2 linked regions of the Arabidopsis thaliana genome follow. The protein of the gene in region 1 interacts with the protein of each later gene in a pairwise test. Each region holds a gene or a part of one and is shown on either strand. Other genes may lie near its edges.

Region 1 (7,079 bases):
CATTCCACAGGGACACCACAACAGTTTTCCTTGACTCATCAGCCAAAGTTATATCCCTCTTAGGAATCATCTCATTGTCAGTTCTCCTTCTAATACTCATGGTAGGAGATACACTTTGAACAACTCCAATAAGATCTGAAATAGCATAACAATTAAGTTATTATCACAACCAATGTATAATTTACCTGGAAAAAGAATGTTCAATGACAATAAGGCTCTTACCAATAAGTTCCTTCTGATTAACATACAGACCCAACTCTTCAATGGGTACGAAGTTGAATTTTGTCTCAGGGATGAACATTTCTTCGCTACTAGCTTCCTCAACCTCTGAATTTTCATTCAGTGTCATCTCATAATCATTCTGAACTGTTTTGAACTGCTTGTTAGCGAGTTTTAGTGACCCCCTTGATATATAATAAACCTTTCCCAACTGGAATCTGTCAAAAAACTTCCTTGCAGCATCATTAAACATCGTTGCTTGAATTTGTGTTCCCTGGATAACAGCCAAATAAACAAAATGAGAAACCGCATAAAGGTTGTCTATACCAAGTTTGAGAGATAGTAAGGAGCTTTCTTACTTCTTCATCTGTTAGTTCAACATTGAAGACACATCCTTCACCCCTAGCGTTTTTGTAATTTCTCATCACTCCCTTGTTTGTAACTCGGACTTTGATGGTCCAGTTTCCTTGATATGGATTTAATGACACAAGTGGATGAACCCTTCTAGTCATGGCCATTCTTGCAGCTGGTGCAGCACTGTCAAAATCCAAACGAATTTAAGCAAAACACTAATAAAATAACCATTTGACAGAGACAGTAATGAAACATTGAAGATCAAAAAAGATAATTTGCTTACTTTCCCCTTTGTTCACTCATTATCTGAGAAGCTGATTTGGCTACAAATTCCTGCTTCGGTTTCAATGTGATACCAGTAGAAACAACATCATTCAGAGGACTGACAGGAGAATGCTCTAGTTTCTGCTTCTTGGGCTCACGAGCCTCCTCCTCTCCGCTCTTACTGTCCAAGTTAATCTCAGAATCAAGCACAGAACCAACAGCCTCACATTTAGTCACAAGGAAATATCTGACACAGAGACAATAGAGAAACACACATGTTAGTAACTGTTGATTTCAAGAATCGAACCAGAGTGATTATCCATGTAAAGAAGAAGCAAAAGAGAAGTCTTACTTTGTAGATTTGCTTGAAATGTCGTTAACAGTGAAATCAATGAGACGAATTAGACCCAAGTTCTGGATCTTCCCAGAAATGATTTCAGGTGTGAGTGAAGCAGTAAACATTGCTTTGACTTTCGTCTTTCCGTCATTTGCACTAAATCTGTCAACCAAAATCAAAACAGATCCATCAGAACAAAATCGGTAACTAAAACCCAAAACTAGGCAATATACAAACTATTATCAACAAACCCAGATCTCTTCTATCATAGAGTCATCAAAGTCGTTGCATATCATAATCTAGCTATACAATTGTGATTGAGAGAATATAACACTGACCTAAAGCTGGAACAAGCGAGATTTAAGAAATCAAGTAAAACCCAGATCATGAAAAGCCAAGGAAACTTACGTATAGCGATTGCCGATAGGTTTAAGATCCACAACTTGAACAACGATCTCAGATCGATCGGAAGACGAATCAAAGGATGGGTTTGACAAAACGGTGGAGATGGCATCTGGGGTCACCGAAGTCTGCATCTTTCTCTCTAGATATTGAAAAATGAAACGTTTGGTTTCTCTTTAATCAGAATGGTGAAAACTAAAAGCCGTGAGATAGTGAGAAGAATGAGAGAGAGGTACGAGGGTTTTTGTAAAGGAGAGAGCTTTAAGCGGGAGCTATTAAATTCGATTAATTGTTCCCCCGCCGATTTCAATTTCTATTTTTTTGGCAAAAAACTCTTACCGCTTCTTTTCAGTATCTTTCCATTTTTTTGGCGCATTTTGTTTTGTTTGATAATGGACTTTGTATGCGAAAGAAACTGTGTTACAAAAGCCTTTCACTTCAGGCCCATAGTTTATGGTTTTGTTTTTATGTGTGGGTCTTGAATCCACCGTATCACACGTTATGATTCATAAATATCTAAAATTTATTTCCAACAAATACAATTTTTTTGTTTCTTAAAGAACACATACGATATTATTATTTCAGAAAAAGATTAAATACAAAATCCCCAGGATCAAAATCAAACACCAATTCCAGATTAAACAATATCAACAATCTTTAATGTTTTTGACTTTTTTTTTTCTCTGAATGTTTTTGACAATTGAAAAAAATAATTCTACGCATTGCGTGAGGCAAACATTTAAAATTTTAATTTATATAAAGAGAAAATTTATACTTCTTGACTTGGGAAAAAAAAACTTGCTGAGGTCCTTACTTGATATGAGCTGTCAACTACTAGTGTGAGCCGTACAAATATAATCGGACGGTTCAGATCAATACATTGCGAGCCAGTCAAACTTCAAGTATTGACTAATCAACATCAACGTTTATTACACTAATTTATTATTGTACCCCTTATTTTCCAAAAACATAATACTTTTATCCCTATTGTATCCAATAGCTCTAAAAAAATCCACCATAAAATGTGTTTAATGAAATTCGATTATCTCTGACGACAACATTATCAAAAATCAAGACAAGAGATAGAACATAAAATGTTCAAATTCGTAAAAGTAATTGAAACAAATTAAATTCATTTCGAAGTTTATTAATTACATTTTGACCCCCAAATTTAAGTTAATTAGACTTACCATCCCCATGGTTTTCGTCCCGCCATATGGGGAAGTCAATGGACGAATCAATCTCAATTAGATTCGGGGCGGCCCAAAAATTTATCATTTTCTAAACCTTTCGTAATCTACGAAATTACGGGATCGCCTTCGTTGGAATACTAATTCCATTTTTCAACTTTGTTTTTATAAATACAGTTTACGTGCACCACAACTTTTCTTCTTTCCCTTCTTCTTCCCCAATAATCTCGCTGAAACTCTCTTGCTCTTGCTTCTAAAAATCTGTTCTTTGAGACTTTGATCACACAGTTATCAAAATCATAATCTCTTCTTTCCTGGTTTTTTTTTTTTTCTTCTTCTTCTTCCCGTTTCACGGTACGTTTACTCTGTTCGATCACCGAGTGTATGATAAAATGTTTCTGTGAAATCAAATAACATATCACTTTCTAATAAACATCAAAATTTCTCCTTTTTTACAGAAACAAGAAGTTTTTTTGGGAAAGCCGTTGACTTGACTTTTTCTTTGGGGTGTTGTGTGGGAGCTTATAGTATGGTACCATAAGTGGGAGCTTATAGTTTGGGGTGTTGTGTGGGAGCTTATAGTATGAGGAAAAATGTTAGATTTGAAGAATGCTTCACTGATTTTTTACCATAAGTATGTCAACTGGATTAAGCTTAAGTAGTAATGGTTTTTACTATGTTCATGTGGGGATTTCTCTTCCTCTCTGTTTACTTCATTCCGAGATGACTTGAGATTTTTTCAAAGTATAGTTCTTGGAGTTAAGCTTACCTAGTAATCACTTTATATAACATCCCTTCGTTTACATTTGTGCTTTCACCTGGAAACACTTTAGACTTTTCTCTCTTCTGCCGTGTGTATTTAGTTGTCTAGTCAAATTTAAGTTGAGTTTAGGCTCTAGTCTTTGGTTTTGGTTATGGCAGAGTTTGATTCCAAGGTTCCTGTTTCCGGAATGAACAATCATGTCTTTGAGGCATGTCACCATGTTGTTAAGGCACTGAGGGCATCTGATAACAACCTGGATGCCAATTTGAGAAAGCTCCTAAGTGACCTAGAGATGCATTTGTCAACATTTGGGATTGCTGATACCAAAGTTGAAGATGCAGGATTCTCTGAGATCAAGAAGAGATTCAAAGAAGCTGTGAAGAGAATCCGCAGTTGGGAGACAAACCAGTCGACGATGTTTGAAGCTGGTCTGTCTGAAGCTGATCAGTTCTTTCAAGCCCTGTATGACGTTCAAACAGTTCTTGTGGGTTTCAAAGCTTTGCCCATGAAAACTAACCAGATGGAGAAAGATGTTTACAACCAAGCTACGGTTGCTCTTGACATCGCGATGTTGAGGCTTGAGAAAGAGCTCTGTGATGTTCTGCATCAGCACAAACGGCATGTACAGCCTGATTACTTGGCTGTTAGTTCCCGTAGAAAAGATATTGTGTACGACGAGTCCTTTGTCTCCCTAGATGATGAAGTTATTGTCGAAGCTTCTTCACATGAAGATGATGAACAGATATCGGACTTTTATAATTCTGATTTGGTTGATCCCATCGTACTTCCTCACATCAAAGCTATTGCAAACGCCATGTTTGCTTGCGAGTATGATCAACCATTCTGTGAAGCTTTCATCGGCGTTCAAAGAGAAGCTCTGGAGGAGTATATGGTTACTCTCGAAATGGAAAGATTCAGCTGCGTTGATGTTCTCAGAATGGACTGGGAGGATTTGAATGGTGCAATGAGAAAATGGACAAAGGTTGTTAAGATCATTACTCAGGTCTATCTCGCCAGTGAAAAACAGCTATGTGATCAGATTTTGGGAGACTTTGAGTCAATTTCTACAGCTTGCTTCATTGAAATCTCAAAAGATGCAATTCTATCACTCCTCAACTTTGGAGAAGCTGTGGTGCTGAGATCTTGCAAGCCAGAAATGCTTGAGCGCTTCCTTAGTATGTATGAGGTTTCAGCAGAGATTCTCGTGGATGTCGATAACCTCTTCCCCGATGAAACAGGCTCGTCTTTAAGAATTGCATTTCACAACCTGTCAAAAAAACTAGCTGATCATACAACCACAACCTTCTTAAAGTTCAAAGACGCAATAGCCTCAGATGAATCCACACGCCCCTTTCATGGAGGCGGGATTCATCACCTGACCAGGTATGTAATGAACTACTTGAAGCTTCTCCCGGAGTATACCGACTCACTAAACTCACTGCTTCAGAACATACACGTTGACGACTCCATCCCCGAGAAAACAGGAGAAGATGTCCTCCCTTCGACATTCTCTCCAATGGCTAGACACCTCAGGTCAATCGTCACAACTCTAGAATCCAGCCTTGAGCGAAAAGCTCAGCTGTACGCAGACGAAGCACTGAAATCCATTTTCCTGATGAACAACTTCCGTTACATGGTCCAGAAGGTAAAGGGATCAGAGCTGAGACGCTTGTTTGGAGACGAATGGATCAGGAAGCACATTGCAAGCTACCAATGCAATGTCACTAACTACGAGAGATCCACATGGAGCTCCATACTCGCTTTGCTCAGAGACAACAACGACTCTGTAAGAACCCTGAGAGAAAGATGCAGACTTTTCAGCCTTGCATTTGATGATGTTTACAAGAACCAAACCCGTTGGTCAGTCCCTGATTCAGAGCTCCGCGATGATCTTCACATCTCGACCTCTGTCAAGGTTGTTCAGTCTTACAGAGGATTTCTTGGAAGAAATGCAGTTCGCATAGGCGAAAAACACATCCGATACACTTGTGAAGACATTGAGAATATGCTCCTTGATCTCTTTGAATGTTTGCCATCTCCAAGATCACTGCGCAGCTCTCGTAAGAGATGATGATGATGATGACTTGAGCCTAATGGACTCCATCTTTGTTCTTTTGATCTTTTGTTATTTACTCACTTATGCAATGTTTTGTGATTGCTTACATGCAAATAAAGTTGTAGAATTTTTATACTCCATTGTGGGGATGTAATAGTAATTGGCTATCTTGTCACTATGTCATCTTTGACATGCTTAATACAAATTCAATGTTTAAGTCGGATTTAACATTTATAATGACGATGGTTTTTTGGTTAACTCTATGGACTCATCTGATTTAACTGAGGTATGGACTTGGGCTATTTGACTAGGAGATATCTTTGGTGACTTCTTACTACTACTCACCTCTGTATTCTCTGCTGGATTTTGGCATATGCAACAGCAAAGTGTTGTTGATGGAACAAGTGAAGGAAGTGAGCTAGCAGTGGAAAGAAGACTGGGCTGATTATGAATGTCAGTAATGACGTCTCTCCCCAGTCAAGAAGATAACTAGAGAATTATGCTTAGAAGATTTGATGGTAGCCTTGCTATTCTCCATCTATTCTCATCTTCGGAAAATTGTCTAAACTATAGTACCCTTATGTCCAAAAACCTACAATCTTCTGTCAAAATATGAGAAGGAACTTTTTTTGGACCGTTTGATTCCTGCATTCGAGTATGAAGCAGATGCCAAATGTTTCTCTTACTTGTCTTGCCTGAAAAGTTATATAAAACTGAATAAGCTGATTCAATACCAATCTTTTACCCATATCCTCATATGTTGGACCATTACTAAAGGGATAGAGAATAACTGCAAGATGATGAATGCTCATGCCAAAACTTCATCTACTAAGCCACTACCCTCTCAACTCGGTTCCAAAAAAAAAAAAAAAAAAGTCTGCAAATTCAGGAATGGAAACAAAACTAGAGAAACGCTCTAAATAGCCTAAAACAGCCCACCCAGTTCCCACTTAAAACCAAAGGTTGGTTCAGCAGGCAGTAGCAACAGCATTTTTCTCCACAGGTAACTCGGTCTCTTTCACCACTTTCGATTCTTTAGTCACTTCAGCCGCAACTCCTAGTGCTGCTGCATCTTCTGAGGCTGTAGTAGACTCTTGAGGTTTCACAAGATTAATTTTTGACATTACACCTTTGTCTGCATTGGCCACCAATGTCTGCTTGGAAACAATACCAAAATTTGTAAGATATTCCTGTTATATAATTATATATATCAATGAATTGTTGGTTTCAGAGAGGATTGTTGCCTGTTTTTTGATCTGCAGGTGTTTGCTTTTCCTTTCTTGGATAATCTTTTGACGATTCTCATAGAACTCAAAATCATCGAGGATGCATGTCTTGCTTGCGTGGTCCTTGAAAATCTTGATGACTTTAATGCCTTGCTCGAGCTTTACCTGCAGACAAAAAAATGGTAAGAAAATAAATGACAGCTCAATTATTAGAATACAAAAGATGATAAATAACACAGTGAGCGGACATACTTCCTGTGTGTCTCTG
Region 2 (5,515 bases), on another chromosome or scaffold:
AATGGCTGCAAGAAAAGAAGAGAATGATTGTTCATTCAAACACATATGAAGTTAAATAAATTTGGTAGATGCAAACAGTTAAGAGTTAAGTGTGAGAGATTATACGTTGAGAGTAGAGAGAAAAGTTTTGGTTTTGGCTTCACCAGCAAGCCAATCTACGAAGACAAGCTCAAAGTCAAGACCTTTCTCATTGATACAAAAGAGAGCTGCCGAATTACCCCAGATAAAGCCACAGTGGAGCTTCATCTTAGAATCAGCCATGTTGTTTTCTTTGTCTATTTACTAGATTAGTTATATTATTGGGTGATGAGTCCTATTGTGATCTCCGTATTTATAGTTGTGAAAAAGTATATGTAATAATCAATAACCTTTCGGCCTTCTAAGAGTTTTTTTTTTGGGTGTAAATGTTAAATGCCTTCTAAGAGTTGGTCATCGATCGATAAATGATAGTATAGTTTAGATTAAGTATTAAATACCTGTCAGACTCTCTAGAGTTTTAATAAAGGGTGAAACTAAGTCAATAACAACCAGAAATGAGTTAATTAACAAAGTGGCAATAAAAAAACGAATTAAAAGAGGGAAATTTTATCTAGAACCAACTTTTTATACTGCATCTACTAGTACATAGACTATTAGATTTGACATTTGAGTTAAGTAAACTAACTAATCAATAATTGCTCCATTTATAAAATTTTAGTGTTTCATAATTATAATGATCTCCCGCTTTCTTAGGAAACTCAGACAACCTCCAACGGTGATTCTAGATGAGCTCTAGAGAGGTGAGACCATCCTCAACGCCAGTATGCTATGAAAATTTATAAAAGGATAAAAATAATAATATTTTAATTTTACAGTTATATTTTAAATATTTTATATAGATAGACCAATAATAAAGATGAACGTGTCTTTGGGTTTGTGATATCGTCTCTTAGCTAAGAGTTTTTGGAATTTCTCATTCTCTCTCTTTTTTTAACTTTTAATTATTTTTATTTTTTTAATTGTTAAGAATTCTATTAAACAACTATCGTTAACGGTGGTCTGAAGCCCTTAGAAAAAAGCCAACATTTAAAGAAAAAATGTGATGAAGTGGATGGAACTCACTTTAGCTAAGAACATTTTTTGTTTGGAAAGAGGCCCATACCTATCATGTTTCATAGGTTCGGTAATGTGAGGAAAGAACATTAATTTTTTTTCCCGTGTATTTTTTTTCTCTTTTCTCTCGTAAAATCCGATGATGATTACGAATCGATCATCATCAACCGTCATCTAGATCATTAAGTAGAAGAAAACCAAAGAAGCTCGTCTCTTATCCGCCGTGATCATCATCATCTACACCGACGGTGCTCACATCTGCGAATTCGATGAACTAAATCGGAGAGTTTGTTTAACCAAATCGGAAATTTATGTGAAACTATGCTCCAATCGTTTGATAAAGGGTGAAAGCAACTAAATAACAACTAATAAATGAGTTAATTAACAAAGTGGCAATAAAAAAACAAAATTAAAAGAGGAAAATTTTATCTAGAACCAACTTGTATACTGCAACTAGTACATTAACAATTAGATTTGAGTTAAGCAACTAACTAATCAATAGTTTCTCCATTTATTCATTTTTTTTCGGGAAAAATGTTGTTTAATACACCAACTTTCAAAAAGTGGCCATTTAAACCATGAACTCCATATATGGCCAAATAAAACTTAGTAAAAGCGTTGACCGACCATTTTATACATCTCAAAACGTTGACCAGGCCAAAAATCCTGCGACGTTAGCAGTCGTTAACAGAGTCGATAACAGGCGTTAGCAGGCGTTAATTAATCCGTTTAAACACAAAAATCTTCAAACGAACAAAAATGGAGAGGCTTTTGAAGATTTTTGAATTTGGGAATTTTAGGGCATGAGAATTGGAATTGGGGATTTTAGGGATTGAGAATCGAATTGGGAATTTTGTTGGTTTCGATTAAACACAAAACGACGTCGTTTGTGTTTAAACGGATTAATTAACGTCTGCTAACGCCTATTATCGACTCTATTAACGACTGCTAACGTCGCAGGGTTTTTGGCCGGATCAATGTTTTGGAATATATAAAATGGCCGATCAACGCTTTTACTAAGTTTTATTTGGCCATATATGGAGTTCATAGTTTAAATGGCCACTTTTTGAAAGTTGGTATATTAAACAACATTTTTTCCCTTTTTTTCCGTCAATTTCTCCATTTATTCAGTTTAGTGTTTCATAATGCTCTCCCCGTTTTCTTGGGACCTATGTATTAGTGGACTTTACTTGGATAGGCCCAATAATTGGGCTTTTCCCCTTAGTTTTTTATTACAGCGACACCGTTTTTAAAGATGTTTTGTCTTAGCTCCGACAGCAAGTGGGAGATGACGTCACCTTTTCACTGCAGTTTCCCTTTACTTTTTCCTCGCAATTTTCTCTCTTCTCTCTCTCTGTCCTCCTTATCTCATCGTCTCTGACTCGCTGCACTTAGTTTCAGATCATATAAACGAATTTGGTGATTGATCGGTGCATGACGAGCGCATCGGAACTCTTCTCTACACGAAGATCACGTCCGGGTCGATCCGACCCGGCTTTAGAATCCGACACTTCTTCCTATCGACACCACTCACACCATCATCATCGCCGTCACGGCGTCCATCATCATAATCAGCGTCATGATTCCGACGGCTGTGATCCTCTCCGGCGACCCACTCCCCGTCTCCGACGCTTCTTTCACCATCCGGTTAGTTACTTTCCACCAAATTAGTAATTACTAATTTCAGTAGTTGTCTGAATTTGGTCCTTTTTACTAAAATCTCCCCTAATTTACAGATTCAGGAACGTAGTAGACCTATTCGTGATGTTCAAGGCACTAGTCAGTATTTAAATACGGATAGTACTGATACTGAAACTCAGAGTAGCAGCTTTGTTAACCTAAATGGATCCGAGAGGCTTCCTGGAGCTGTTCTGCTTGCAAGGGATAGACTTTTCGAAAGATTGAGAGGTGTTTCTTTGTCTAGTAACAGGTCTGTGCTTAACCCACTGATAAATTTTACAGCTTTACTTGATCTGCACTCTAGTCTGATTTTAGATTTCTTTAAAAATAATTGCTTTTGTCTGATCAAGATTCTTTGAAGCATGTTTTGATTTTGCTCTTGTTTCTTGTGAGGATTGGTCAAGACTTAGTGTAAAAATCAGTTTTTGTGGATTATTGTTGCTTTGTGTATTCTTTAATATCTTCTTTGAAGCCTCTTTTTCAAAATTTGGTTACGGATTTGTTTCAACTTTGTTTTTCTGATTCAGTCGAAGCAACAGAGTTTCATTGGATGATCAAAGGGAGTCTTCATTTCATTCTATAGATGGAGATCCAATTTTTCAACTAGCAGGGCTTCAAGTGACCTATGAATGCAACAAGAAACCACAAGGTCTTACTCAAGATGCTATTAACTGTTTACACCGGCAAACTTTTAGCTCAGCCGAGGTTAAATCCGAGATGAGAGATTGTAGCATATGTTTAGAGAGTTTCACTAAAGGTGACATGCTAATATCCTTACCCTGTACCCATAGTTTCCATTCTTCTTGCTTAAACCCTTGGCTTAGAGCTTGTGGAGATTGTCCTTGTTGCCGTAGAGCCATAGCAAAGGAATAGAAACTTGTAAATAGAATCTTTGCCTAACCATTAGGCCATAGCCATACACATCTTCTCTTCTTCTTGCTATAGACATCCTTAAAACGATCTTCTGAGTTTTGTCGCCCATGAGTGTTTTTTTTACTGTCACATGTTTGTAATGGTTTTTGTTGTGCCATTAGGCAGTTCAAGCGTTGATATCGTATGGTGTGAATCTTTTTAGTTTTATTCACTGTGATCTCTCTTTTAATGTCTTGTTGGTTATATGAAAGAGACTTTTTCCAAATCCAAATCTTGATCCGACAATTTGGTTATGCTTTGAGGTTATAGCTCAACAACTTAACGTTTTCATTTTCAGAAATTTTGATTGTCTCAATCTGGTGATACTACTTTAAAGCTTTGCTTCCTCTTCCAAAACGTTGTCATTATCATACATCCATGTACGTTACATATATTGAAGTCTAATATCAAAAGATTCAATCAATTTATAACAACTTTAAAAGAAAGTTATGCCAAAAAAAAGAGAACTTTAAAACAAAGTTAAGGCTAAAAGGAGAAGACAGTTGTGCACAAAAAGCTATTTTTTGCTACAAAAGCATATCAAAATGGACCCCTTTCTTCATAAATTCATGATCATCATCTTCAATTCCTTTCATAAAATCCCATTTATTTGCTCCTAACCATCACTTTCTCTATTGGGTACCTAACACACCTCACTCTCTAACCACTAAAATTAACAATACATACATTAAGAATGTCCTGCCTTTCTTTTTCTATCACATCAATTTCATGTCTTCGACAACATTAAAACCTATATGATTCAAATTCAACCAACTTAAAACGGTTTAGTTCAGTTTAAAATCAACGAAAGCTGAAGAAGATAAGAGAGCTTCACTTGCTAACAATTAACTTTCCATAGATTGAAATTTTGACTTGCTAGAAAAATATGAGACAAATTCAACATTTAAGCAGCAATTCTCCTTCTCTTGCTGCAAATAAATCCCATCACCTTACTCAATAATATTGAAGGCGACAAAGAAAATAAGAGAAATGAAACTTAAATAAACCAATCGTGTAATCAAACTCCTAATATTTGAGCTGTTAAACAAAGGGGTTAGTTAGTCTCATTTCAAGGCTCGAGTCTTGTTATTAGGATTACTATGCACAGATTGCATCTTCCCTACCATACTCAGACATCAATATGCCAAACAGGATCATTGTCGAAGCTTCCTTTCTCCAAGGCTGCAACTTTAGCTCTATGAGCTGTTGTTGAAGCCAACGCTAGTGAGCTCTTCCCTTTCTCCTCTTGACCCGAGTACTCGCAGGCTTCAGTTAACGAACCAGACCGAAGATCAGCGGGTGGGATAAAGCAATCTAGAGACAGACCAGGAACATTGAAAGCGACTTCTTCAATGGTCCATCTTTCCTCCATCTTTGTCCTAGTGTGGCTCATAGCAACTTCCCCAAATCTGAAGAGGGTAACAACAGAGCGTCCAGAGTGAGCAATCATGATCCCTTCCACCTGTTTGTAGTCGTCTAGAGACGAATTGATCGTGGTCTCCCAGTAAACAGCATCACCATCGTTAGATTGGATTCGAGTCAACTGCGAATCCTCAATTTGAGCTAGAAGTCCTGTTCTTTGGCTGAAGTAACCGAAAAGGATGTGTCTTACAATCTCTGCTGGTCCTTCACTCCTCGCCCTTAGCGTTTCAGGATCAGTACATAGCTTCAAAATGAAACAATCTTCACCATTCACCTTCCTCTCTCCAACACATTTCGATTCAGCAAACATAGTAGCAGTAGTTCTCGGATCAAGTCCCTGAAACATCATTTAACATAACAGAATCAGCATTGGATTGATTTCAAAACCATGTAAGTTTTAGTGTTTGGG

The links.
Region 2: the proteins of EXO70E2 (region 1) and AT1G49850 interact in a two-hybrid assay, tested with the Arabidopsis thaliana proteins (one large-scale study listed by BioGRID).

Annotation. Positions count from the first base shown.
Region 1 is NC_003076.8:24,550,932-24,558,010, forward strand, and holds EXO70E2 (exocyst subunit exo70 family protein E2), read left to right. Parts: upstream 1-2,812; 5' UTR 2,813-3,680; coding exon 3,681-5,600; 3' UTR 5,601-6,112; downstream 6,113-7,079. Other genes in the region: RPA70D (Replication factor-A protein 1-like protein), read right to left, coding at 1-135, 223-493, 579-756, 857-1,084, 1,190-1,336, 1,583-1,710; ECT3 (evolutionarily conserved C-terminal region 3), read right to left, coding at 6,554-6,739, 6,830-6,976, 7,064-7,079. UniProt on the Arabidopsis thaliana protein: Influences the subcellular localization patterns of other exocyst complex proteins (e.g. SEC5A, SEC15A, SEC15B and EXO84B) leading to their recruitment to exocyst, well-defined large punctate structures throughout the cytosol.
Region 2 is NC_003070.9:18,453,456-18,458,970, reverse strand, and holds AT1G49850 (RING/U-box superfamily protein), read left to right. Parts: upstream 1-2,351; 5' UTR 2,352-2,526; coding exon 2,527-2,739; intron 2,740-2,828; coding exon 2,829-3,022; intron 3,023-3,299; coding exon 3,300-3,645; 3' UTR 3,646-4,127; downstream 4,128-5,515. Other genes in the region: GSTF14 (glutathione S-transferase (class phi) 14), read right to left, coding at 1-5, 106-261; AT1G49840 (glutamyl-tRNA (Gln) amidotransferase subunit A (DUF620)), read right to left, coding at 4,814-5,443. UniProt on the Arabidopsis thaliana protein: Probable E3 ubiquitin-protein ligase that may possess E3 ubiquitin ligase activity in vitro.